Linked DNA regions of Coturnix japonica. The protein of the gene in region 7 interacts with the protein of the main gene of each other region in a pairwise test. Links are inferred from orthologs where the notes say so. Each region holds a gene or a part of one and is shown on either strand. Other genes may lie near its edges. The genes, in order: NAB2, TRIM37, MTUS2, TRIM54, CARD9, MEOX1 and CWF19L2.

Region 1 (4,042 bases), on a different chromosome or scaffold from region 7:
CGCCGGCCCCGCCGTCCTCGGGCTGCGCCCTGTGCGGGTGGGAGCACAAAGGGCTGCGTCAGTGCGGGGGCAGCACCGCACGGTTCCCCCCCCCCACTCACGTTATGGGGCGGTGCTGTGGGGCACAGCGGGGTCTGGTACAGATGGAACCGGGGCGGGGGGGGCAGGGGGAGGGAGCAGAGCAGCGCCAGCTTATGGAGGTGGGGGGGGGGAAAGGAGCTCGGGACTGGGGGCTCCAACAGCATCCCCTGTGCTGTGCCCCCCCCCCCAACACACACACATTGAGGCACCAAACTGCCTCAGCAATGGAAAGGGGAACTCGCAGCCCCCACCCCCGCCCGGAATTGCCGGTGGTGCAGCTCCCATAGGGGAAACCCCCACTGGGGGGGGGGGGGGATGCTGAGGGCCCCCCCTGCTCACCTGGACACCTTGAGCGAGGACAGGTAGGTGCTCTCCCTCGCGACCTGTCGCGACAGCGAGAACAGCTCGACGCGCCGCAGCAGCAGCGAATTGTCCCGCAGGCAGAACTGAGCCGCAGCCTCGTTAATGATGAGCTGCGGGGACAGAGCCGTCAATAGCACCGAGGGGGGGGGTCACAGCGAGCCCCCAGCCCAGCCCGACCCCCACCCCGCCCCCCACCTCGTGCAGTGTCAGCTGTTTGCCCTCCCTTCGCCGCGCATCCCCTCGCCCGTAGATCGCGCTGTGCCGTCGGATCTCCTCCTCCTTGTGCCGGTCTCCGTCTTCCAGTTGGAAGATGTGCCCCACGGCTTTGGCCAACTTCTTATTGAGCTTCAACAGAGCCCGCAGCTCCGCGTCCCCCCCCCGGGGGCAGCTCTGCAGCAGCCTCTCCACGCTCTCCGTCACCGTCCGCACCAACTCCGGTTCCAACACATCGCCCCCCGACGGCTGCTCGGCGCCCCCCGGTGAGAACGGAGGAGCTCCGGGCTCCTCATCCCCTCCACCCTCCGATTCCGGGGTGCTCCTCCCCGGCCACGGCGACACCCCCGACGGCGACAACTTCTCCGACGGCTCCGTTGGGCTGCGGGCTGGGGGCGTCCCCGCGTTGCCCCCCCCTTTCCCCGCAGTTTCTCCGGGGCTGCTGTGCCCGTTACTGAGCGATTTGCGGCCGTCGTTCAGCTTGAAGAGGGGGATGCTGCTGACGGGCACGGCCGGTACCGGCTGGCTGAAGAGCCCCGGGTTGGACGCCCACTCCCGCAGCGCTTTCTGCAGTCGGCGGACGTGCAGCGGTTTGGTGGCCATTCCCACCAGCGCCATGATCTCTAAGAACTCCTCCTCGCCAGCCTCGCAAAGCTGCTGCACGTCGTCCCCTCCTTGTTGGATGAAGGTCTCGTAGTAACCCAGCAGGTTGGCACGTTGAAGAACCCGGTACAGCTGCAGCTCCCCCAGCGTGCGGGGCACGGCCATGGTGAAGCCTATGGGACAGACGGACGGACGGCGTGACGGGGGAAGGACGGACGGACGGACCCCCCCCACCCCCACCCACCTTTTGGCCTGGGGTCTCCACTGAGCATCCACAGCTGCACCGACCCCAACACAAACACGAGTGGGTCCCCATTGAGGAGCTTGGAGACCCCACACCCCGTGGCCCCACCCGTGCTCCCACCCCATGGGGCACCGCTTAGGGCAGAGCACACCCAGGGCTGCCCCAGTCCTTCTCTACCCCACGGGGACAGCAAAGTCTCAGCCCCCCCCTCTTTGGCCCCTACAGACCCCACCTTGCACCCAGGCCCACGCGTGCTCACTGATCAGGCTGGACCCCACACCCGCATCCCCCCTGATCCCAACACAGACACGAGTGGGTCCCCACGGCAGAACCATAAACCCCCCCCCACCATTCCCACATCACGAACCCACTCGTGCCCCCACCCCACGTGCAACAAAACACACCCAGCTCTACCCCAACCCCACGGGGACACCGATGTCACGACTCACCCTCCGACCCCCCCCCCGTTTCCCTCCCGTTCTCTCACCGCGGGCTGCAGCCCCGTCCGGCCGCTACGCGAACCCCGTGGGCATGGACGGACGGTACCGGGGGGCTCGGGGGGGTGTTCGGGGGTCCCGATTCCGGGCCGTGCTCGTTCGCTCCGCCGAGTCGCTCCGCTCTGCGCGCCGCCCACACGGGCGGTACCGAGAAATAGCAGCGGCCCCGGCTGCGGCTGCGGCGTGGGAGGCTCCGGAGGCGGAACCCGCGGCTGCCGCCCCCGCTGAGCGCGGCGTGGGAGGATGAAACGGGGGGGGGGGAACCGTAGGACCGCCCCATCCCCCCCCCTGAACCGAACCGGGACGGAGGGAGCGGCTGCGAGCAGGGCGGAACCGGGGGGTCCCGTCGGGCAGAGCAACGTGAAGACACGGGGGTTGGGGGTCCCGGGCAGGGGCTCGAGCAACCGGAGCCTACGGGGGGTGGGGGGGGGACACCGTATGTGAGTGGGATCACGGCTGTCACCGTGTCGGTGCCACCTCCCGGTTATGGGATCGCAGCCGGGTCCGGGCACCGGGTGGGGGGGGGGCTTCAGAGCGAGCAGCCCCGGGACAGAGCGGGTCCGGTTCGGTTCGTGGGAGGGGAGGAATTTCTCTGCCATCGCCCCCCCCCCCCCATGCTGAGCCCGGCTCTATTTATACCGAGCCGGCGCCGCCGCCCCCGCGGCCCCTGCCCCGCGTGGGGGGGGGGGACACGACAGCGCCGCGTTCCGGAGCCGTCGGGGGGAGGTGGGGGGGGGTCCCGTTCGGAACAGCCCATATAGAGCCCATATAGAGCCCATATATTCCGAACCCCATATAGACCCCATCTATGTCCGAATCCCTAAGACCCCCCCCCCAGGGCCATGCATGTCCAACCCCCCCCCCCCCCTCGTGTCCGGCCGCCCCCGTTTGACGCACATCCTCCACCACGACCCGCACGCTTCCGGCTCCGCCGCCCACTGACCCGGGGGCCGGCCCGTGAGCCCGACCCGCCCACGGAATGCCGAAGAGCCCAAGGGTATTGGGGGGGGGGGGTTAACAAGCCCGGGATCCAGCCCCTACGAGCCACCCCCCCCCCAGTGTGGGGTCCAATGAGCATCGCGCTGCCTCTGCCCGCTGTAGACCCCCCCCCCCAAGCAAAACAACGACGGTGCGCTCCGTGAATAAGGTGGAGGAGCTTGTCAATCAAGCCGGCTTGGTGGCGAGGGAGGGAGAAAACGATGCTGAGCGGCTGATTGGTTGAGGTGGGCTTGCTCTGTCCAAGCTCGTTGCTAAGGCGGGCTGCGTTGCCTACGGTGTGGGATGGCTTCGGGAGCGAGTGGAGCACGTTGGTGGAGTGTGGGTGGGGCTAAATCCGCATCCTGCCTAGGCTGTGCTGATAGGTCGAGCGCGCTGTCAATCAACACGCAGGGAGACGATAATCCCGTCACGGGTTGATGACGTCAGGCAAGCCTCGCTCTCTCATTGGGTGTTGTCCCGTGGGGAAAGCGGAAGCGGAAGTCGCCGGGAACGCCATGGCGGGAAAGCGGATGAAAGCGGTGCCAATATGGCGGGCGGGGCCTGGTCGTGTTTCTTGCTGCTCCTCGCGCTGCCTCCTCCGCCGGGCGGGGCCGGTGAGCGGCGGGCGGAACAATGGGCCTTTATGGGCTGAGAGCGGGCGGGCCTAGTGGGGGCCTATAATGGAGTCATAGAGCGGCCATAGCCTGGATCCGGCTTTAGAGTCTCGGGTGGGGATGGCGGGGGGTTGGGGTCTCCGGGTTTGGGGGCCTGGTCCGGTGTAAGGGCTCTGGTTGTGGGCTGGGGGAATGCGGTGGAGATGGGGGGTGGTGGGGGTCCCCGGGTGAGGGCGGGACTGGGGGGAACCAGGGGGATGGGAGATGGAGAATGGAGATGGAAGATGGGGGGGGGGAGTGAGTATGGTCCGGGTTGGGGTCTGTGTGGGGCTGGGGGAAACGGGGGGGAAATGGATGAGATGGGGGAGAGGGGTTGGGGGTCTCGGGTTGAGGGCTGTCTGGGTTAAGGGCGGTGTGAGATGGGGGGATGGAGAGTGCGAGAATGGGGG
Region 2 (3,972 bases), on a different chromosome or scaffold from region 7:
ATCCATTTATCCTTCACAGAAATTAATTCTTGGTTCTTTGTTGTTGTTTTGTCCAACTGGTATCTGACAGAGCACGTCTATTAATGCACATCACATCTCACATCCACATCAGATCATCAGTTCCTTGTGTTTCACTGTGTGTGTAGTGATAACAACAGTCTGGGGGGAGAATCTCCCTCCTCTCCTTCCTCCTTGAGCCCGTTGGGAGCTTTGTTCATGAGCAGTGCAGGTTTCCTCCTCCTTCGCCCTGATTTCTGAAGCACCGACTATCTTCTGTTTGTAACCTTTCAGAGTCGCAGTTCAAACCGCTGACTGAAGAAACCCTTCAGAGTGTGCCCAGGAGTATCAGAAGCACCGTTAAATTAGCAGACTTGAACAACTTGTACAGGCATCTATTTAACCACTTCGTCACAAATAAGAACAGGTAAGTGCTTTTTTTTAACCATTTCCCATCAGAGCTGCTGCTCTGTGTCCTGCCGTGCTCAGCGCTTCCTTCTTGCCTTCCAGAGCGGCGCTGAGCATCTCCCAGATGAAGAAAATGAACATGAAAGTCACTGACACGAGAATACGAGTCCTGAAAGAGCTGGGGATTGTGGAGCTGGACAAACAAGGCAATGTCAGATTGGTCGTGTAAGGGAAGGTCTGGTCTGTGACACACTGTGCCTCGGCCATAGCTCCTGTGTGACTGGCTGGGTGTTGGTGGCTGGGAGCTGCTGGGGCTGTGAGATCTGTGCACTAATCCTGGTTCTGGGACTTAAAGAGCTGCAGAGTGGAACCTGTTGAGGTTGGCATTTGAACGTGGATGTTTACAAGGCTGTGGTATTGCTTGCGTTCCTGAGCGGGGCTTTGAAGAGGAATAGCCTGGGAATACCTCAGGAATACCTCAGGAATACCTCAGGCCACTTCATTGAGCTCACATTCCTGAATAAACGCTGAAAGCAAAGCGGTGTGTCCACAGATTGACTGCTGTGCTGTGTGTGAGTGCTGCGTTTGGGTGGTCGATTCGCACCGAACAGAAGCAGGTTGTGTTGCCATGACGGCAGAGCTGTTCCCCCCTCTCCCACACCGTCATGGCGTCGTGCCTCCCCGCGGCCGTTCCCTCCGTTCCCGCCTCCACCTCATCCCGCCCCGCGGCCCCTCCGCGCGTGCGCAGTGCGTTGCGCAGGGCGGGCTCGTTGCCGGCCGGCTCCTCCCCATCGCCGCCACTATGGCTGCGGCCGGCCGGGCGAGGGGCGGCGTTGCGCTGCTTGGCGGCGGCGGCTCGTAGCGCTCCGAGCGCTCCACGCTTATGCCTTGTGCCCCTCGAGGGCCCTGCGGTCTGCAAAGCGGCGGGGGGAGCCCGGTCCCTCCGGGAGAACCGCGGCCATGGACGAGCAGAGCGTGGAGGTGAGCGCTGAGCGGCGGGCGGCGGTTGCGCTTCCTCAGGGGCGCGGCCCAGGTGTGTGTGTGTGTGTGTGTGTGTGCAAGGAACGATCCCATCGTTACACGGCTGTGAGGTGTGCGGGGCCTGGCGCTGCGTTTGCTGAGCTGGGCGTTGTGCGTGTGTGAATTGTGTGTGTGTGTGTGTGAAGCAGGCGGTGACAACAACCCCGATCTGCCCTTTTCCAGAGCATCGCCGAAGTGTTCCGATGTTTTATTTGTATGGAGAAGCTGCGCGATGCGCGGCTGTGCCCGCACTGCTCCAAGCTGTGCTGCTTCAGCTGCATTCGGGTGAGTGTGCTCCTCCTTATCACTAACTGCTGCGACTCTATCAGCTCGGAACTGCTCTTGGCAATGCAGTGTGTTCCTTCTGGCCCTCCTTGTGCTGTGAGCACTCGGTGTCACTGCGCAGTGCTCCCAGCAGCGTGTTGTGCTCAGCAGCCCTCACTGCAGGGGCTGTGCGAGGACCTATTAAGGAACAGCTGCGTTGTGACCCTTCCTTCAATGTTCGTTCCTCAACTGTCTGTCTTTGTGTGGAGCTTTCTGGAGGAGAAACATCCACAGGGTCCCCAGTGGTCCTCATTGCAGCCTTTAAATACCTGAAGGGAACTTACTCCCAGGAGGGGAGTAAACTCTTGGAAAGGGCTGACAATAGCAGGACACGGGGAAATGGTTTTAAGTTAAAAGAGGGAAGATTTAGGTTGGATGTCAGGGGGAAGTTCTTCACTAGGAGAGTGGTGAGGCCCTGGAACAGGCTGCACAGGGAGGTTGTGGATGCCCCGTCCTTGGAGGTGTTCAAGGCCAGGTTGGACAGGGCCATGGGCAACCTGATCTATGGGGTCTCTATGGGGTCTATGGGGTCTGTGGGGTCTCAATGGGGTCTATGGGGTCTCTATGGGGATCTATTGGGTCTGTGGGGTCTCAATGGGGATCTATGGCGTCTCCTGGGCAACCTGATCTAGTAAAGGTGTATGTTTGGTGGCCCTGCCAGGCAGGGGGTTGGAACTACATGATCCTTGAGGTCCCTTCCAACCCGGGTCATTCTGTGATTCTGTGATTGGTTTGATTGTTGGCCTGTAGGTGTCCAACTTGTGGGCCAGTAGGGGGAAATAAGTTGTTTGTAAGCTGGTCTTTGAGGTATCTATTTGCTGCAATATGTTTGTTGGCCCGTAGCTCTGGGAACCTGCACCAGGTCTGTATGCGGCTTCTGCTGGATCATTGGGTGCTGCAGAATTCCTGCCTTCATTTGAACCAGATAGATTCGAGGACTGCAGCTGTTTCTATGACACAGACAGCAGTTCCTTTTGTAACAAGTGGTTGAATGCTTCAATTTCCAATCTCTACAGAAGGGAAAGTAGAAAATTAATGGGAAGAATTAACTCGTAAATAACAACAGATTGTTCTTGCTTGCAGTTCTTTCCCTGCTGTTTCTTCAATATTTTTCCTTTTTCCTCCCCAGCGTTGGCTGACAGAACAAAGAGCTCAGTGCCCTCATTGTAGGTAAGGGATTCTGAATGCCAGGAATGTGTTACCTGTGTGAATGGAAGGTGGGGGGTATTTTCCCTTAAAGAAGGGGAGGTGTTTGAGAAAACAGCCAGTCATTTTTGCAGAAGTTCATATTCAGCTTTTAAGGTATTTAATCGATAGTTTAAATAGAAAGGCTCATAAGGTGGTATTTCTGTGTTTTATGGAGGTGTTCACAGAGGCACAGCTGAATAATGGGCGGAATTGAAGTGCTGAGAAATGAAGTATTTTCCCAGTGTTACCCAGGAATACCTGAACATAATGGTAGTTCTGGTGTCCCTGCATAGCTGTGGGCTGGTTTGATCTTCCTTCCTCCAGTAAGAACAAGTCAGCTTCAATTGCACTGCTGTATTTCTGAAACAACTGTTGACTTTTTGAGTGACGTGGACTTGGCGAACTGATCTCATCTCATTGTGCTTTTCTAGCTCCCAGAGCACAGTTCTTGCTGTAACTCTTAGCAATGCTTCTTGCAGAGCCCCACTGCAGCTCCGGGAGCTTGTCAACTGTCGCTGGGCAGAGGAGGTCACGCAGCAGCTGGATACCCTTCAACTGTGCAATCTCACAAAGCACGAAGAAAACGAGAAAGACAAGTAAATAGAGCATTCCTCATGTGAAGGGTTTGCAGTTTGCTGCATGGGAATGAGTTTCATCGTGTTCTTATTTTAAGTCAGGGAACAAACTTAGTTGTCTGATTGAAAAGCTGAATGGTGCCACTGCTTAATGGATGTAATCAGTGTTCTCTCTGAAAGGTGGAGTTCATTTCTGTTGCAATAGCACACAAAACTCCTAAATTCTGTAATTTCTCATTTGGATGAGTAGAGCTTACATGAGAGAAAATGTGAGAAGAAGCATTGAAAAATGGGCAGAGACTAAATGTGTGTTCTGTGCCTTCTTCTCCAATTCCTGAAGCTTGGTGGAGGAGCAGGGAGAGACACGGTGGAGGTTTGCCTGGGCTGTGCTTGTGCATAGAACTGACCTTGATTCAGTGGCAGTAATCTCCACCTGCTGGGCTTAAATCTGGTTTGATGA
Region 3 (3,500 bases), about 4.5 Mb from region 7:
GTCAGGTCTGAGATATCTGAGGCACAGTGAGGACATAAGGTGAAGATGGTCACCTAATGCGTGGGAATGAGGAAAAGACAGAAGCATTTAATAGTGTGGGGTTTTTTGCCTTAGTTTGTAATATTAATGCTACCCAGTCGTTGAGTTGAAGAATCATGACTGGGGGAATAAAACTTTCCATTCACCAAAATAAATTGCAAGTATCAGCTTATCATTCATCAGTCCACGGGCCTGATGGATTCACTTCATAGTACTGAGGGAGCCAGCAGATGTTACAGCTGGATCCCTCCCAACAACTTACCAAAGGTCTTGGGAGTCTGGGGAGGTCCCTGCCAGCTGGCTGCTAGCCACCATCATACCCTCCTACAAGAAGGGCATGAGAGAAGACCCAGATAATTGTCAAATTACTAATGCAGGACTTTTCCTTTGAGCCCACACTGACTGTGCCTGGTAATTGGTAATTTGATATAATTCTATGTATTATAACATCACTGCTGAGTGGATGAAGGGGATCTGATTGCATCAGTGGATGTAATCTTTCTGGACTTTAGTAAGGCTTTGATGCCATCTCTCACAGCATCCTTCTGAACAGACTGTCCAGCTGTGAGATGAACAGGATCTTGTTGTGCTGAGAGATGAACTGGCTGCAGCTCAAAGTGCTGCAGTGAATGGAGCTGCATCTGGCTGGAAGCTGCCACTGGCAGTGTTCCCCAGGCTCAGTTCCAGGGCCAGTTCTGCTCAACATCTTAATTGGTGATCTGGATGTATCCTTAGCAATTTTCCTGATAGTACTAAACTGGGAGATGCTGCTGAGTCCCTGGCTGGAGAGCAGCTCAGCAGAAGGGATCCACATCCCTGTGCAGGTGACAGCAGCTCAGCATGAGTCAGAGCACAAGCAGAGCAGTGACTTGTGCAGCACAAAGGAAGAAACCCACCAATGCCCCCTAATAGAGCTGGAATTTTAATACTTAATCTTGTCTCTACAGTAGTGCTTTAAAAACTTCAGTAGCATTTCTTGGTGCAGTAAAGGTCAATATCTTATAGCAGTATGAAAGTGCTCAGAGCCTTGATGTGGGGTTCTGTCCTTAGCTGCTTACAGCAATCAACAGTTTTAAATCTATGTGTCAGTAGCAACTTGCCTTCTAACCAGGACAGTTTTAACTATGTCTTCTCAAGTCAGAGATCTGGGCTACATTAGGAAGCTCTGCTGAGGGCAAAGCTGTGGCTGAAAGAGAATCTGAACTGTCCGAAAGCTCTCCATTTTGGAAAATTTGCCACTTTTAACCTTATTTTTAGTTAGTATAACTCATGATATTCATGTAACGTAGTCTATTTTTTTTTGTTTTCTCATAGGTTGGCTGGATTAACTGGCTGTCATTCAGAGGGAACTTGACAGATCTATTTTGCTTTCGTTGAACCTCTCTACTGCATTCATAAGGATTTCCTGGATCCAGAAGCTGCACTGGAGGCAACTGAGCAGCACAAAAATGTGACTTTGACAAGAGACTCCGAGCCTTCTGCTGAGGAATTTCTTACTGATCAGTTTGTAATTTAAGCCTAAAACTGAAGCACGCATAATAGTTTGTTAATCTGATAGGGGACAAAGGCTTTCTCATTACCTAGGGCTGCCAAAAAGGCAGTCACTGGAAGCTTCAGAATGAGTGCTCCATTAGTCCCAAACAAATCATGTTATTCCCAGCTTCAGGACAATCGCAGTGAGATAAAAAATAATAATGAAAGCACAGTGAGCGTGGGGGATAGCAATGCCAACCAAATCATGACAAAGATTAGAACCACGGAGGGGGAAATCAAGAAACAGGGTTTGACAGATGAAGGTGGAAATGTACACTCTGGAGGATCGGAGAGAGTTACTTGTCTGGATACAGAACAGAATAAACTGGTGCTCAGAGACTCTCGGACCTGTAACACTGGTATACAAGAAAGTAAGCTGCCTTCAACCACAAGCAGGGAAATAGGGAAGGACAGCAGGGCCAGTGAAGTTAAGGATATAGCAAGGCATATCAGGATGAGCCGAGGACAAAGTCTGTCCAGTTTAAAAAGCAGCACAAATGATGCTAACCTGGAGATCATTTCTAAAGGTGATGTTGACTTCACCCAGAATTTTCCTAAGGGTAAAATGTCCAGGACTGTGGAGATGGAAAGAATAAAAAGGCTCTCTTTGGGCAGACCCAGTAAATTTTCTCCTCAATCTGAAACACTTACAAAAGAATGTGTTGGCCGTGTGTCTTGTAAACGTCTGCTTTCCGCATCATTGGATTCCATTGACAGGTCGCACCATTTGATTGGAAATACAGAGAAATCACAAAAAACTTCCACAGATCATTTTCTTGGGATGGTGTTTCATCCACTCGACAATACCTCAGAGGAAAATACTGTCTTTTATTCCAAACCATCTACCTCAGGGAACAAGAAAATAAGTAAACCAGAAAACGTACCAAATGTTAACACCGAAAGCACACTGCATACTTCTCATACCCATCATCATTCAGCTGTTAAGCCCAGTGAGATTGCTAGTAAATCAGAAGCACAATTAAGTCAGGGTGATAAAAGTAAGAAGCTGGAGCTTAAGGCTGTGACATCCCTACAATCTAAAAACACATGTCAACAAAAGACTGAGAGAATTATGGTGGTAGAGTTTCTGGGATGTAAAAAAGATGGAAGTACAACAGTAAAAGAACAGAAGGAGTCTGGCTCTGACGCATCAACATTTCAAACATCCCATTTTCAAGACATCTGTGATAAAGCAGAGGATCCTGTGTCAAATCAGGTTGTAACCTCTTCTGATGACAGACTGCAAAGTGATAACTTCACCATCCACGGGGAAGGAAGAGAAGGACATGACAGTGACAGTGGGGCAGCTACCCAGCTTAGTGAGGAAGACAGAGAAGTGGAAACAATATTCCCACTCACCTGTGATGGTAATTCCAGTAGCAAAGTGACACCTATTAAAAACAAAAATTTACATGAAGATGATGCAGGCTGTGCTGAAACAGTTGGTGAACAGGTATCTCACATACAAAATGTGTATCTTCCTGATAGCAAACCCTTGCAAGTTAATGAGGATAAACTGATGCTGGTCGAAGGAAGCACTGAGGAAGCTGCCTTGCCTGCTTCTGATCTCTCTGAGCATGACAGAGTGTGCAGCACAGAGACAGTGTCAAACCAACAGCCTGACGACCATGTCAGTGACGTGGAAACCTTCGTGGTTCCAAGTAAAAAGACAATCCCTGCCCAGAAACATCCTCCAGATGAAGCACAAGAGAGCTATAAGGTTTCGGCAAAGGCTGACACTTTTTTATGTGTTCCAACTCATATGCGCCCGGTGGCAGTGCTGGATGTTAACAGTCAGCCCACACTATCAAACAGTAATTTGAAGGACCTATATGCACTTCCCATTGACAAACTGTCACCCTCCTCAGTCCTACCTCATGCTGACAGTACGCAGATGATGAACATATCCCCCAAAGTGCCTATGAAGA
Region 4 (3,943 bases), on a different chromosome or scaffold from region 7:
CTCTCCTCATCCTCACCCCATCCCCTGCCACCCCATCCCTATCCTATCCCCATCCTCACTTCCTCCCTCCCCACTCATCCTCACCCCATCTCCTGCTACCCCATCCCCATCCCATCCCTGTCATATCCCCATCCTCACTCCCCCCCTCCCCACCCATCCTCATCCCCATTCATCCTCACCCCATCCCCACCCATCCTCATCCCATCCCCTGCCACTCCATCTCTATCCCATCCCCATCCCATCCCTACACCCTGCTCATCCCCACAGAGCATCTCACCATGGGGAGAGCTCAATGGCTTCTGCCTTGGCCCCACATCTGTAGAGAAAAAGCATTGGACAGGTGGAGAGAGGGACACATGGTGAGACCATGCACCGTACATGGCCACGCCGCAGCCACGGCAGCACCGTGGTGACTGCGGCACAGCATAGCACGGCACAGCACAACACACTCTCACCTTCAGCAGCCTCAGGTGCCTCCAGGCTCTCCTCATCCCCTGCACCTTCACTGCTGTCTGTGGGTCCATCTCCATCATCCTCACCCAGCGCTTCTGTGGGGCAGAGGCACATCTCAGTGTGAGGACATCCCTGCTGCAGTCCCCTCCCCAAGGCAGCGCCCGCCCCATGCTGGCACCTGGCTGGAAGTCGATGGTGCGCAGCATCTCAGCCACATGGTCCACATTGATGGAGAAGTGGTCCATGCTCTCATAGCCGGGCTCAGGGCGGCTGCTCATCGACACCTTGGACATGTCTGTGATCCTGGGGGTACAGCAAGCAGCATCAGCCCTGCCCACCCACCCCCCCATGCCATCCTCATCTCATCCCCCTCCCCATCCCATCCCATCCCATCCCATCCCATCCCATCCCATCCCATCCCATCCCATCCCATCCCATCTCACCCTACCCCACTCACTTCTTCAGGAGCTCCTTGGAGTGCTGTGGGGGAAAGCAGAGTGCCGTCAGCATCCCAGGAGCAGCGCACCAAGCCGCAGGGCGCCCCGCACACAGCCCCCCCCAGGCACCTGCAGGTACACGGCCATCTGAGGTTCCTCCATGGCCTGGATGGCCGTCTCCACCAGCTTGGAGGAGGCCTCCAGGTGGTCCCCGTACTGTCGGATGAGGCCGCGCACGCGCTGCACCTTCCCCTCCTGCTCGCGGGCGATGCTCTGCAGCAGCTCCTTCTTGCGCTCCTCCAGGATGCTGCAGAGCGAGTCGAAGCGCAGCCCCACGTGCTGCTTCTGCCGCCGGCCGTTCTCCTGTAGGATCCCCCCCCGGGGGCTCAGGGGGCTGCCACGCTCCCAGCCCGGCCCCACAGGACACCCCTGTGTCACTGTGCCCTGGGGACACCCGCGTTCCATGGCTGCAGTGGGGATTTCCCTCCCAGGAGCATCCCACCATGTGGGCACAATACACCGGGTGGGGGTCCCGAACCACGCAGACCCCACACGCGGGGCCTGGGGGGGGGGTGTGGGGGGGAAGGCACACACAGGGCAGCCCCACCTCAGTGCTGCGGCAGGAATCTTCCAGCTGGGAAATGATGGTCTGGATGCGGTCGTTCCCCGCTACTAGCATGGAAATGCAGTTGTTCAGCTCGCTCTGGGGGGCGGAGCGGCGTCGGGGGTCGCACCGGGAAACCCCTCCCACCGCGCCCGCTCCATTGACCCCCCCCCCGGCTCTGGGGGTCACCCACCTTCTGGCCCTGGAAGATGCTCTGCAGAGGGGCGACTTCGCAGTCCTTGTGAGCACCGAAGACCTTGCACATGGAGCAGGTGGGGACCTCGCAGGTGACGCAGTAGATGTTGATCCTCTCATCCTCATGATCCTTGCACATCAGCTGCTGCTCCGCCTTGGCGTGCAGGGGGCTGCGACGGGAGGGAGAGGGCGCTGCGCCCCACGGCACGGCCCCACGGCACGGCCCCACGGCACGGCCCCACGGCACGGCCCCACGGCACGGCCCCACGGCACGGCCCCACGGCACGGCACACGGCACGGCCCCACGGCACGGCCCCACGGCACGGCACACCTCTGCCCCGTAGCATCCCCCGCCTCACTGCACCCCCAGCCCCACAAGTTTAGCCCCAATACCCCCCCACCCAGGCTCATTCCCCCTCGTGTCCCCTGCACAGCCCTCCATACCACACAAGCCACGGCATCCCCCGCCCCACCTCACCCCACGGTGCCCTTGAGCCCCTTTAGCCCCAATCACCCCCCCCCCATCCCCACGGGCTCCCTCCCACGCGTGTCCCGCCCCGCACCGCGCCGACTCCTGCTTGTAGATGTCGATGATGTTCTCCACCAGCAGGTTCCTCTGCAGCCCGTACACACCGTGCCGGTCCAGCAGGACCTCATGGCGACACGTAGGGCAGCGGAACCGGCCCCCGGACGGCCCCGCGCCGGAACCCCGGGACTGCCACAGCGGGTTGGAGGCCTGGGGGGGCAGGGGGGAAAGGAGAGAGCAGGGCAGGGGGGGAAGGAGGGGTTAGCGAACCGCTCCGAGACAGAGATCCCCCCTCCTCCCGTGTACGGAGCCCCCAACCCCGGGCACAGCCCGGTCCCTGCGCCCCGCACCTGGAAGATGTCGTTGGCACACTTGCGGCAGAGGTTATGCTGGCAGGGCAGGATGACCACAGGCTTGCTGAACATCTCCAGGCAGATGGGGCACAGTAGCTGCTTCTCCAGGCTCTCCATGCTTCGCGCTTCCGCCAGCAGCGGCTTCAGCCCCACGGCGAAGTTCATCGCCGCGGTCCCGGTACCTCTCCGGTACCGCTCCGGCCCCTCACTGCCCCGCTCCGGCCCCGCAGCGCTAATTTTAGCCGCCCCCGCCCCGTCGGGGCCGCGCAGCTGTCGGCGGCGTCGGGTGACACTGAGTCACGGCGGGCGGCCGTCCCACCGCCGGGGTCACTCCGTCCCGACGCCCCCCGGGAGCGGCACGGCGCTGCCCCCCCCCAGCCCGGCTCCACAGCCGCCGCTCCGAGACGAGAGAGCGACACCGCCGAGCTCCCCCCCATCATCCTTTAATGGTGCCCATATAACATATACAAACCCACGGAAAGTGCCTGAAGGGTCCCAGCCCCATAACGAGCGCGGTGCGGCCCCACGGCGAGGCAGAGTGGGGCGCGACGGGAGGCCCCTCTCCGACCCCTCCTCCTCCCCCCCCATACCAGCCCCAGAGCAGCGTTTGGCACCCAGCTCCCGTCAGGGGGGTCCGGCCCCGGGGTTACAGTGCTACCGGTCTCAGTCACAGCGCTGTAGGACGGTTTCACCTGAGATTGTACACCCCCCTCCCCACCCCACGATGGGGTCTTGGGAAGCGGCGGTGGTCCCGGAGGAGGCTTTACCCCCCACCCCCCTCCGGCACATAGGTGGCCCTATGCCTCGCTCCTGGCTCCGGCAGCAGGCAGGGGCTGGGCGTTGCTTGCGGGGGGCTGCGCTTCCACCGGGACCTGTGGGTCTGGAAAGAAAATGTGTGGGTCAGTGGAACCAGGAGGGAGTCCTGGGGTCCTGGCAGCGATCCGGGGCTGCCCCTGGCACCAGCACGGCCCTCATGTCTCTGTTCCTCTGTTAAGGAAACCGAGAGAGCCCCCAACCCACGTGTCCCACCAGCCCCCGAGCCCGGTGCAGCCCCCCCTGCAGGTCTCTGTGAGCCGGGAGCATCGTGGGGGGGGTCACCATTTTGGACCCCAACTCACCGCCACCATCGTCCGCCTCCAGGTCCTTGGGGTCGACGTACTTATAGGACTCGTCCTCGCGGGGTGGGCAGCACTTCCCGCAGCAGAAGAAGCAGCAGCAAAAACAGCAGCAGCAGGTCAGCAAACCACAGCACAGCGCCAGGGCCTGCGGGATGGGATGTCACAGCCTGAGGCTTCCCAGAGACCCCCGAGGCTTCCCCGAGACCCCCAATATGCCCTAAGAGCTTGGGATTGCCATGAGACCCATGGGGCTGCTC
Region 5 (2,684 bases), on a different chromosome or scaffold from region 7:
CATATAACCGACCTTCCCCCACTGCATCTTGCTGTAAGCAAAACAGGAAACATTCTGAACTAGAAGCTGTGTATCTACACACAGACTTATCCTCCATGACTATGGGCTCATTCATTTTGTCTCCAGACAATGTGACAACCCCTACCACAGTTATGAACTAAGCTGGAAAAAACCAAAACCCTCTTTTCTACGCATGTTCTCAGGATAATACTTATTTTTGCACATTCTCTCATAAGAGAGAGATTAGAAGCAATGCAAAATAATTTGAATCTTCTGGTCTGCTTGGACTTAAATCTTATCACAGCTGCATCCCCATGGTCAGAAGTCTCAGGACATAAGGAGAAGCCACCCTTAGCTGTTAGCCTGCTTTGCTGCCTCAGGACTTGATGTCACTGCTGTGAGCCTGACCCATGGAGCACAGACTGCTGCTTCTTTGGGAATTAGCGCAACTGAGGAAGCTGAAACCATCCCAGGAGAAAATGAAACATAAACAAGGCACCCTACTCACATCCTGGGAATCTCTGGAGGAGGTGTCATCCAGGTCAGAAGTCTGAAATAAAACCAGTAAGTTTGTTACTCCTCATGAGTGAATAAATGGCTGCAATGGAACACAGAGGACATCAAAAGCTCCAGAAGATAGAAATGTGAACTAACTTCCTCCTACACTCATCTGACCATTTGGAGAAAGCACATAAGATGCCACAATAATTACAAGTCTTCAGATGTCTCATTTAATTCCATGAACTCTCATACCCTGCTCCTATTTCACCCAAATGGCTTGTACAGACTCCAGAGTTCACTCTTTAGTGGGTGACAATGCCTTTATGGTGTCTGGAAGCACTCCAAATGTGTAAGGCTTCAGCAGACCAGGGTGAGCTCCTAAGAACCATCACGTCTTCACAGAAATAAATGGTTACCCAAGCAGGTGGCCACTGCTTGCTGAAATCGGATTGGTTAGGTCTCAGTGTCTCAAAGCAGTCTTATTTGGATCCTAGACTCAACACTTTCCAACTCATCACACACAATAACCCCACAAACATACCAGTGCAGGCAGCTCCAGTTGCAGCCTTTTCAGCTTGGTTTCAGTAGCCAGTAGCTGACTCTCCTTTTGGAAGAGTTGCAGCTGCAGCTCATCGCATCGCTCCCCCAGCTCCCGAATCTGCTTCCGATAAGCATCCCTCTCAATCAGGTTCTTTGAGTACTGCATGTAGAACTGTTCTCTGGTCAGCAGTGCCTGGTGTAAGAGGCAACGTGTTGTAGCACGACACCACATTCAGGGTTACAATACCTGCCTGCTTCAAGCAGCAAGCCAGGGATTAGCAGCAGCTTCTGGAGGAACGTTTTATCACCTGGTCTCTTTCTGAAGCCACTTCCTCCATCTGCTGTAAGACAGCATCCATCCGTTTTCTATACATCTGGGAGTCCTTCCTCAGAGACATGCACTGTAGTTCAAGTATCTCTTTTTCCTCTGCATACTGTTGAGACATGGCTTGTGGGGTGAGCCCAAGCTAGAATCTCATCACTTCTGCTCTATATCACAGATTGCTATAGCCAGACTTCCCTGCAACACCAAAGCCAGACTGCCCTGCCGGAGCAAAGCCAACCAGAAGACCAGGCAGTATGACTAGAAAGCCTGCTAACATGGCAGATTTTACATGTACCTGAGCTGTCAATCATGATATAAGCTCCCATCACCCTGCAGGCTGAGGCACAGGCATCAACAGGTAACACAGTTAATGTCACAGACTCAGACCACTAGAATATTAGCACATCTTTTCCCTCAAACTGCAACACAGACCCTAGAATAGAAGCATCAGCGAATGCTGCCTCGCAGCTCTGCTGCTTCACTGGTAAGACACTTTATGTGCTTAATCTGCCCATCTGACCCCACTGAGCCCCAGCAGGGATTTGTACTGCACCACACACTTTGTCTCGGAGCACCTCGGCTTGGCGCAGCTCCTTGCGGAGGTGGTACAGGGTGTTCAGCAGGTCCCTGCGCTCCAGTATCTGGCTGCAGTCATTCTGCACAGTCTCACGGGAGAGATTCTTCTCCAAATTCTGTTCTCTGGCAACCTGCTGAACAAAAGATACAGCAACCATCTAACTCTGAAATCCAACGTGCTCTCTGTACAACTTGGGAGAACAAGGCCATAGCTGACCCTCAAAACACTCAGTACAGCTCCATCGCTGTGCTGGCTGCATAGAAGAATAATTTCTTTAGATTCCTCACCCAGTCACCCCCCCACCAACCTGGAGAGTGTTCTCCAGCTCCTGATTCTTGGCCAAAAGCAACTCCTTCTCCTGCTGGATCTCCCACATCACTTCATGGCTCGGACGCTGTTCTATGGCGTGCTTCAGTTTCATTGAGTGTTTACGCTCTAGTTTGCAGTCATCCTCAGCCTTCATGAGGCTATGCTTCAAGCTGTCAATCTACAAGGAGGTTCAGAGCTCATCAGTAACAGACACAAAAGCCTGGTTGCAAAAGCAGTGCTCTCGTGGCAGAGTTCCCCATTTATCAGGCAAGCATGGTGCAAGCTTTTCCCCAGCTCTATGTTCCTTAGGAAGTCTGGTGTTCTGGGGAGCTGAGACTTTGTGCTAAATGGGTACAACAGGCTGGTTCTACATTGCCCTTGTGAGAAGGCCCAGCCTCAAACAAGGGGAAGACTCGATTCTTCATGGCACAG
Region 6 (4,266 bases), on a different chromosome or scaffold from region 7:
CCCCAGCATGACTTCGGTGGGTGAACACAAGTGAAATATTCTGCATTGACAAAACCACTCTAGGCTATACCATGGACCCTTCTGGTGCCCAAAATATCCACACATCCTTTGCCACCTGGCCTTCCAGACAGAGCAATCTGTTCTTTTTCCTCCTGCCAGGCAGTGGGAAACGTGTCTGAATGTTTGCTCTCTGAACAGATTGAATTATGTAGGAGAGCCCTTCCTGGAGGATGATTTGTGTTTGGCATTTTGCAAGAGAGTCACATTAATGTGAAGGTAAAAGGTGATGTTCTTGATCAGAAAGATCTGGGCTAAGCCCACCTGATTGCTTGGAAAAGCCCAAGCTATAACCCAGCAGGGATTGGGATGAGCAGACTTCTCCCTCCATTTGATTCCTTTAAATGTCACAACTCTGAATTATACAGAAGCCAAATAAAAGTAGCACTTAAAGCACTTAAAGAAAGAAAAACGGAGGCTCTGTGCCCATCTGATAAATCCCTCTGTGTCTACGAGAGCACAAACTCAGCCCAAATGGTGGGATAAAGGGAAAGAGGCGCACACCTATAGGGAGGCATAGCAAAGCAATGGAGCAGGTCGCAAGCAGATTACAGAAACACAGCACATGTGGCTGTATAAATTACCCCTAAAAACACACAAACAGTTGCAGTAACCCCAGTGCAGCCCTGCAGTGATATTTGGGGTGTTCCCAGGTGCCAACCCTCTGTGTCAGAGGGATGGAGAGCAGATTCCCTGCTAACACCCATGCAGCAGCAGCGGCAGCTCCGGGGTCTGCGAATCTGCTTTGTGTTAAGAAGAACCATAAAACTTTCAGCAAAAGATGAAAAACACGTCTCACATTGGCACAAAGGCAGATTTCCTTGTAGGAAGGAGTGGCATAAAGTAGGATAGAGAAAGAATAACTGCCACCAGCAGTAACCATCAGCAAATACAAGTGTTACCGAGCTAAAAGAACAATAATCCCTCCAAAACTTTGCACGTGCACAAAAGTCACCTAAAACAAAACGTTACAACCAGGCCTTAAATCAGTAAATAATCAGTGAAGTGCTTTCTTACTTTTATTTCCCACTTCGCTTCTTGGCTTCAGGAATCTGCTGAATTCCGTATGAAGGGCTTTTTCCAACCTCAAAACTCGGGGAATTTTGTTAACAGTGCAATAAAAATAACTTCATAGTGTCACAGGGAAACATTAAAGCCCTTTTTTGTGCACTGCTCTTCCCTCCCCCCTACCCCTTTTTTTCTTTTTTGGGGGGGAAGAAAAAAATACAGACATTGTTTCTTTAAAAGTCTCCATCTGCAAATCCCATTAGATGTGCATATAAGGTTTCGGATGATTAATAGGTGCTGCTTTGCTTTGGTTGGAGGGAGCGGGTGTGTGTACGTTAACCCCTCCCTCCCCTCTCTCACATTTCACTTCACAAAGTTGTCACTCTCTCCCCAACATAGTATTTAAAAAGTGTTTCCCTCATGTCCAGCACTTCACAAGGACTCCAGCATCAGCTTTGGGACTCTGTTTGGGGCGATCGCCTCCTCCATCCATTTGGGACAATGAACACCTCAAGAAGAGTTTCCAAACTAACAAACCTCCAACCTCACAAACCCCCCAGCCAAAGTGTCGTTTAGGGAGGAAATCTGGGCTGTCAAATCTGGAAACATTTCCCCTCCTCTCCTCTCCTGCTTGAGGAACCTGAGTGACGAGCGTGGGACGAGGATGAACCCCACCGGAGGCAGCTGCATGCGCAGCCCCCAGTCCCCAGCCCCACTCTGGGGGTGCCTGCGGGGTGCCGACGTCCCCACAGCCCCAGGGTTGGGTCACTGCCCCCCAGCCCCTTTCTCCTTCCACCCCAAGGTGGATTTTGCTGCTTATTCTGAATTCTCAGCCTCCTGCTTGCTGAGCTCTGCCCACTGCGTCCCACCTGAGGAGCAGCCCCCAGCTTTCCGTCCTCACTCTGAGTGGCAGCAAGCAACAACAGAGGCCAGGAGACTGCTGAGCCCAGGGCTGGTGTTGGCCTCTGGGGACACAGAGAGCCCCAACGTCGTGAGCACAGCAGCGGGTGTAAGTGAAGATTACGAGGTGCCAGTAAACAGCACGATGGAGACAGAGAGAAAAGGATCCAAAAGGAAAAAGGAGCACTCAGGTAGGTGGCGTGGAAGTGGGGGTGTGGGGTGGGATGGGGAGAATATCTCATGGAGTAAAGCTGATGGAGGAAATATTTTGTGATTCTTGACTAGGGAAAACTATGCAATATCTCAATGGAAATGAAGTTGCTTGTCCCTTGATGACCTTTGGTGTTTGAGTTTTGCTCCTTATTGGCTGAACCCAACCCTTTAGGCAGCAGCTCAGTGCCAACTCAGTGCCATGCTGCGCTCAGAGCCCTAGGATGGCAGATCCATCCCACTGCTCTGCTGCAGTCCAAGGGTGATAGAATGGGGATCAAAGGGCTAAGGTCCCATCAGCTGCCCGTGCTAGCTGGGAATGCCACTCTGGGGTTTTGAACTGCCCACCAGTAGAATGCCCAGCAACATGGGAAACAATCAGTTTTCATTGTGCCATCCTTGCCAACAAAGCACCTTCTTCCTGAAGCATTCAGGAATTACAGACATAAGACATCTGGTTTGTTACTATTTCAGTTCTCCCGATATGTGAAATATGCAGAACATTGCTTTCTCCTAAGGAAGCTGTTAAGATTCAGATGCTTCCATGCAGACATTTTCTACAGTATTCATTTGCAAACCACAGAGTATTGAGAAGCAGAGGGTATTTTCCAGCATCCCCATTTTATGGTTTCAGAGCCAAGACATGGAAATGTTTCTAAGATGTAGAAAAGATCAAAATGCACTTAAATCCTCAAAACTTTCTTTAAAGAACCAATAGATTCAGAGCAGCTACAGAACGGTTTCACTGTGTGATAGTAATAGGAGTATCTGCAGTAAGACCTCACGTGTGAGCACACACATCCCCTTCTCTTCCTCTACCAGTGTTCATTATTTAGATGCCATTTTCAGCCCTGGTGTCCCAGGCACAGCAGTGACCTGAAGATGTCAGTTGGCTTTGGGGGAGCTTTCACAGCTGCCCCTGTGCCTGCCACCCTCTATTCTATGCTGTACAATTTAGCAAAGCATTTATAGAAACCCCTTTGCAATTACAGCATTAAAGAGGCTGAAAGGTGTTGTAATGACTTTGGGCTTCATACATCTTTCATTTACTACCAAGGAAAGACCTAACAACACCACTCAAGCAGCAAGGAAATTCCAAGCCCTAACCCTAAACTAAATTAGCCTTTAAAAGCATAAGATAAGCACTGAAAGTTCTGGGATGCCCACTGGGTGGAGGTTGAGTCTAAAGAAACGCCTCCCTCTGATTTCACACGTTGAATGTTGTTGAGAATGGCCAACTGCAGACAGGCAGTTTGGATACCCCAACTTTAGCTGATGATTAAGGCATGAGCTGAAGGATAAGACAGCAAGAAATAGGCATTGCTGTAATGATGTGTAGTAACATAGTGATTCTGACAACTTTGCTAAGTCATGCCTTTGGGTAAAGAGGGTGCTTCATGCTTTCAGGTCCCATTAACAGCCACAATGGCATAGAAAGCAGAACATAAGGGCAGGTAGAAACTGAAAACCTGAGCAAGAAAAGTGTAGGGAAGTCCCTCAGCAATTTAAAGTGATCTGGGGGCAGAGCTCCATCTGTCACCACCCCGTGTGCTCCACTCCATGAGGTGCCCACTGAAGTTACTTGTGGTTATTACTTTATCGCTGGCTGCCAAATGAATCAGCTCCCCATGAAGTCACTTCACTTGGCCAACGTTCCCAAGAGCTTTCAGGATTTTATGCCCCGTGTGACAGCAAAATCCATCTTACTACTTGATTTGCAATAAATCTGCCCTCAAACTCTTTACTAGGGGGAGAAAGCAACGTTATGCAGATACTTTGGATTTTTATTATGCCTTCTGCTGAGGGAAAAACTGCACTGACAGTGGTTTGCAGAATAACAAGCACCAGGTGCCTCCACCAGGGCTGTGGATCACCACAATGACCAAACAACCTGTGTTACCATTGGTGACCCCCATGCTTGAGCTTAAGCTGCTCTGAGGGATCGGAGAACCCCCTGAAATGCCCAAATCCTGCATTGTGTGGTCCTTTCACCTTCCCCAAAGCAGTTTGCCAGCTAAGCCTCTCTGCCATACATCTCCTTTCAACACCAAGTGGGGCACTGCCTGCTCTGTTCCCAGAGGCTATTTCAGA
Region 7 (3,500 bases):
AACCTGTGCAACACAAAGAACTGTGTAGACTCAGCCACTTGTCTTTAGTTAGTCACACAGTATTGCCTTAATGCACAATTTACCTTTGCAGATACACTGCAGGGTTTCTGAAAGTACTACGTGTAGGAACAGTTGTATGTTAAATAAAGAATTATAAGGTATTGTCTTGTTACTAGAATCCAACATTTAAACATTAAAAGTGAACCCATAACCTTGCTATAAGAACTTTTAATGCAAATAACTGATAGGAGCATTTGACAAACAAGGAATTATACTTGAGAACATTTTCTGACTAAACCCTGTCACCCCACACATGCAGACCATGAACAATCACACACAATTTTACTGTACAGTGAACTAACAAAGAAGCAGCAAAATAATCTGTAACTGGCAATTCTTAAATATGCCAAGGAGAAAGAGAGGTGTTCATTAATTCCACACAGGTCCATTTTGGCTGTGCCTAGCTGGGAGACAAGTGGACAAGTGTCCACCTAATCAAAGAGATCTGACATGGACAGACTGGATACTATGATAATAAAGACAACATTTTAGGTACGCTTTGCCATGAACAATACAGACAAACCAAAGGCAAGAAAAGGCGTTTGTAAAATACCTAGAACATGCTGTTACATTGTCAGACAACGTTTGTTTCTTCTCAGGGATACTGGCTGGGTACTCCTCTCGTGATTTCTCTTTGTCAAAACTTTGAGTTCTTTCACCATCATTTTTTGCTGCAGTATCTGATGGCTTCTGATCAGACATCGATCTTTCATGGTTACCTTGCGTGTGTGTTTTGTTCCACAACGGAGTATCCTCACTAGGTTTTTGGAAACGGTTGCTTAAAGAGCTATGTAGAGGTAGTTTTGAAGAAGACCCGTGTGACCTGTAGTCCCCAGATGCACTGTAGGATGACGGGTCATCATCAGAGGGTTTCAGAAATTTATGTTTTATGTCACTTAGAGACACACTCTTCTCTTTACTTCGCTTTTCATCCAAGTGTTTTTCTACTTTGGAGCTATAGCCTCTCAGTTCTGAGTCTCTACTGCTGTGTCCACGTTCTTGGTCCAAACTTGATCCATCTTTTTTGTAACCTCTGTCTTCTTGTGCCCATCCTTTGCCATACTTCTCCCTTGTATGTCCCCCAGACATGTGTCTACCATCTCCGTGTCGTGTCTCATCTTTCATACGATGTCCTTTCTTCTCATGTTCTGAGTAGTCAGGTTTTCTCCACCTACCACTTCTATAATCATTTTCCTTCTTGGGTGCAACTTTTTCAGCTTCTTCTAACCGTGACTGAAATGCCTCCATTGACTACAAGAAAGAACAAAAAAGATCATGCTGCTTTTAAACTTGTGGAATATTGTAAAGCTCCCTAAGAAATATTACAAAAAAGGCACCATTCTGTGAAAATGTATCACTGTGCAGAACCATGAGCCATGGAGTGGAAAGGAAGATCAAACAACAACAACAAAAAAAAAAGGATTAATAGTTTACAGTCTAAAGCGCTCCACAGGGAAGGCATTCTGATTCCTTATCTTAGACTGTTTCTAACTTTCATTCAGTGGCTCTACTGTAAAGTGCTGAACACTCCTGGGAACAGAAAGCACAGCTTTAGAACTGCTTCTTCCAGCTAACTCAGCGATAAGAGGCATGAGCTGGGAAGAAAGGTTTCTTCTTACCTGCTCATGGACTTAACATTTATGCTTACTGGATGTTCAGTTTTTACAGAACCAACGGATGCTCCCACTAAACTATTTTATCATCCAGTTGTACCCTTAAAAACACAGGAGAAAAAGCTCAAAATCAAAAACCTATCCATTAGCCAAATATACAAAATGTGAACTGTTCCTCTTCTTTCTTTGGAGCTGAGTTAAATGCCATTAAACACATGTTTTTCATAGAATGGCTTGGACTGGAAGGGATCTTAAAGATCCATCTAAAAACAGTACATACTGAGGCATACCTGGTTAAGATCTCTTTCAATCACTACCCTGTACCACAGCAGCTTGAGTGTTTGTGTGTTTAAATCCTAGTTTCTTGAAAAAGACTCTTAAAAATAATATTCCTTAAATTCACTGGCACCAACCGATTTCCACCAGTGCTGATGTTGCTGGTTTCATCATTCAGGAGCGACAAAACAACTGTATGAACTCACATGGTCTTACTCAAGATTTTCACAACCAAACCAAACCCAAAACCACACACACCACAAACACAGAACTCAAAAATAAAACTACAGCCAAGATTAAATACTATCAGCCCACACATCTGAATAGGCCTTAAAGAGCAATCTGATCTAGCTGTAGATGTTCCTGTTCATTTCAGGGGAGTTAGACTAGAGGACTTCTAAAGGTGCCTTCCAACTCAAATGATACAATAATTCTATGATTCTAATATTGTTATGGCAGACTTAATAAAGGAGTTTTTAAACTCTTCAGAAGCATACAGCTTTCTCAATACACAGGGACAAGAGACCAGAAGATTCAGATCTGGTAGTTCTCCAAATTACTTTGAAATTATTATTACCCACAAGCTGTATGAGCAGAAAAAAATTATATTTTCTAATAACTATCACAATTTTCTAATGCACTCAGGTACTTTGTAACTGAAATTATTTCAATATATGGGATTTAAAATCTAAATAATATTTATAATGTTTATAATATAATTTTATAGTATGTATAATATTAAACTAAAAAGATATTAAATGAATTTGGATAGCATTTAACTCTTCATCACTTCTTAAGAGGCTGCCTTTTCCTGCTTCTTTCCTACTGCTTCTTTCTGACACCACACATTAAGTATTTGTGCTTTTTACATGAAAGTAACCATTTCCAAGCACCTATTAGTATAAAAAAAATAATTGAAGATCCTTACCCCATATCTTTCAGCTACAATTTCCTCAATATTTCGTTTCTCTCTCTCAGCTTGCTCCTTCATTCTTTGATATGATTTTCGTAACCAACTTAAACCAGCATCTTCTACCACTGTAACTAAAATGGAAAATAACGAGAAGTCATAATTTTGTATTTCAGTAGTTACTTCTATTTAAATCTTGCTCTTTATGTGACATTAAACCTTCACCTGAAGTTAATGTAATAACTGGTGGGATGCAAAAGAAGAATAGAAGGAATATAATAATGCAATTACACATTTTTATAAGTTCAGTCAAGTGTACCTCAGTCATACTATTGATTAAGTTTCTCTTTTGTCACAGAACACAACATAAATCTTCCAATACAGAAGCAGCACACAAAAAGCTGTGGGATTTTTATAAATGAACTTACAGAACCTTCTCAGTGTTTCTACCTCCTATGTCTGTTCTTTGGCACATCTATCCAATACAAACAAGTGCATTTTCCTTCTCAGAAAATTGAAGAGGAATCCCTTGCTTCTCCTTTAAGAAGTTAGCATGAGGTCTTAACACTCAGGATATGTATCCACCAATGCCTGTCACCCTTCATAAAGCACTGATCCCTGCTACTCATACCAGCGTGCAT

Evidence for each region.
Region 1: the proteins of CWF19L2 (region 7) and NAB2 interact in binary tests that used the Homo sapiens proteins (3 or more experiments, as listed by UniProt). The two-hybrid records come from large-scale screens. The link is inferred for Coturnix japonica from reciprocal best matches to the Homo sapiens genes CWF19L2 and NAB2.
Region 2: the proteins of CWF19L2 (region 7) and TRIM37 interact in binary tests that used the Homo sapiens proteins (3 or more experiments, as listed by UniProt). The two-hybrid records come from large-scale screens. The link is inferred for Coturnix japonica from reciprocal best matches to the Homo sapiens genes CWF19L2 and TRIM37.
Region 3: the proteins of CWF19L2 (region 7) and MTUS2 interact in binary tests that used the Homo sapiens proteins (3 or more experiments, as listed by UniProt). The two-hybrid records come from large-scale screens. The link is inferred for Coturnix japonica from reciprocal best matches to the Homo sapiens genes CWF19L2 and MTUS2.
Region 4: the proteins of CWF19L2 (region 7) and TRIM54 interact in binary tests that used the Homo sapiens proteins (3 or more experiments, as listed by UniProt). The two-hybrid records come from large-scale screens. The link is inferred for Coturnix japonica from reciprocal best matches to the Homo sapiens genes CWF19L2 and TRIM54.
Region 5: the proteins of CWF19L2 (region 7) and CARD9 interact in binary tests that used the Homo sapiens proteins (3 or more experiments, as listed by UniProt). The two-hybrid records come from large-scale screens. The link is inferred for Coturnix japonica from reciprocal best matches to the Homo sapiens genes CWF19L2 and CARD9.
Region 6: the proteins of CWF19L2 (region 7) and MEOX1 interact in binary tests that used the Homo sapiens proteins (3 or more experiments, as listed by UniProt). The two-hybrid records come from large-scale screens. The link is inferred for Coturnix japonica from reciprocal best matches to the Homo sapiens genes CWF19L2 and MEOX1.

What each region holds. Positions count from the first base shown.
Region 1 is NC_029544.1:1,653,891-1,657,932, forward strand, and holds the start of NAB2 (NGFI-A-binding protein 2), read right to left. Parts: upstream 2,801-4,042; 5' UTR 1,992-2,800; intron 1,434-1,991; 5' UTR 1,426-1,433; coding exon 640-1,425; intron 555-639; coding exon 421-554; intron 30-420; coding exon 1-29. Other genes in the region: NEMP1 (nuclear envelope integral membrane protein 1), read left to right, coding at 3,527-3,593. UniProt on the Homo sapiens protein: Acts as a transcriptional repressor for zinc finger transcription factors EGR1 and EGR2. Isoform 2 lacks repression ability.
Region 2 is NC_029534.1:5,943,805-5,947,776, reverse strand, and holds the start of TRIM37 (E3 ubiquitin-protein ligase TRIM37), read left to right. Parts: upstream 1-1,172; 5' UTR 1,173-1,365; coding exon 1,366-1,386; intron 1,387-1,608; coding exon 1,609-1,710; intron 1,711-2,878; coding exon 2,879-2,919; intron 2,920-3,416; coding exon 3,417-3,533; intron 3,534-3,972. Other genes in the region: SKA2 (spindle and kinetochore-associated protein 2), read left to right, coding at 292-424, 508-634. UniProt on the Homo sapiens protein: E3 ubiquitin-protein ligase required to prevent centriole reduplication. Probably acts by ubiquitinating positive regulators of centriole reduplication.
Region 3 is NC_029516.1:157,080,212-157,083,711, reverse strand, and holds part of MTUS2 (microtubule-associated tumor suppressor candidate 2), read left to right. Parts: intron 1-1,353; 5' UTR 1,354-1,657; coding exon 1,658-3,500. UniProt on the Homo sapiens protein: Binds microtubules. Together with MAPRE1 may target the microtubule depolymerase KIF2C to the plus-end of microtubules. May regulate the dynamics of microtubules at their growing distal tip.
Region 4 is NC_029518.1:95,417,684-95,421,626, forward strand, and holds the start of TRIM54 (tripartite motif-containing protein 54), read right to left. Parts: upstream 2,801-3,943; 5' UTR 2,734-2,800; coding exon 2,566-2,733; intron 2,426-2,565; coding exon 2,253-2,425; intron 1,860-2,252; coding exon 1,688-1,859; intron 1,594-1,687; coding exon 1,498-1,593; intron 1,254-1,497; coding exon 1,020-1,253; intron 934-1,019; coding exon 911-933; intron 757-910; coding exon 632-756; intron 549-631; coding exon 456-548; intron 317-455; coding exon 278-316; intron 1-277. Other genes in the region: DNAJC5G (dnaJ homolog subfamily C member 5G), read right to left, coding at 3,366-3,448, 3,687-3,831. UniProt on the Homo sapiens protein: May bind and stabilize microtubules during myotubes formation.
Region 5 is NC_029532.1:6,405,231-6,407,914, reverse strand, and holds part of CARD9 (caspase recruitment domain-containing protein 9), read right to left. Parts: intron 2,431-2,684; coding exon 2,251-2,430; intron 2,077-2,250; coding exon 1,927-2,076; intron 1,476-1,926; coding exon 1,350-1,475; intron 1,235-1,349; coding exon 1,043-1,234; intron 551-1,042; coding exon 509-550; intron 173-508; exon of another isoform or gene 1-172. UniProt on the Homo sapiens protein: Adapter protein that plays a key role in innate immune response against fungi by forming signaling complexes downstream of C-type lectin receptors.
Region 6 is NC_029542.1:2,906,934-2,911,199, forward strand, and holds the start of MEOX1 (homeobox protein MOX-1), read left to right. Parts: upstream 1-1,466; 5' UTR 1,467-1,729; coding exon 1,730-2,156; intron 2,157-4,266. UniProt on the Homo sapiens protein: Mesodermal transcription factor that plays a key role in somitogenesis and is specifically required for sclerotome development. Required for maintenance of the sclerotome polarity and formation of the cranio-cervical joints.
Region 7 is NC_029516.1:161,551,275-161,554,774, reverse strand, and holds part of CWF19L2 (CWF19-like protein 2), read right to left. Parts: intron 2,994-3,500; coding exon 2,878-2,993; intron 1,312-2,877; coding exon 614-1,311; intron 1-613.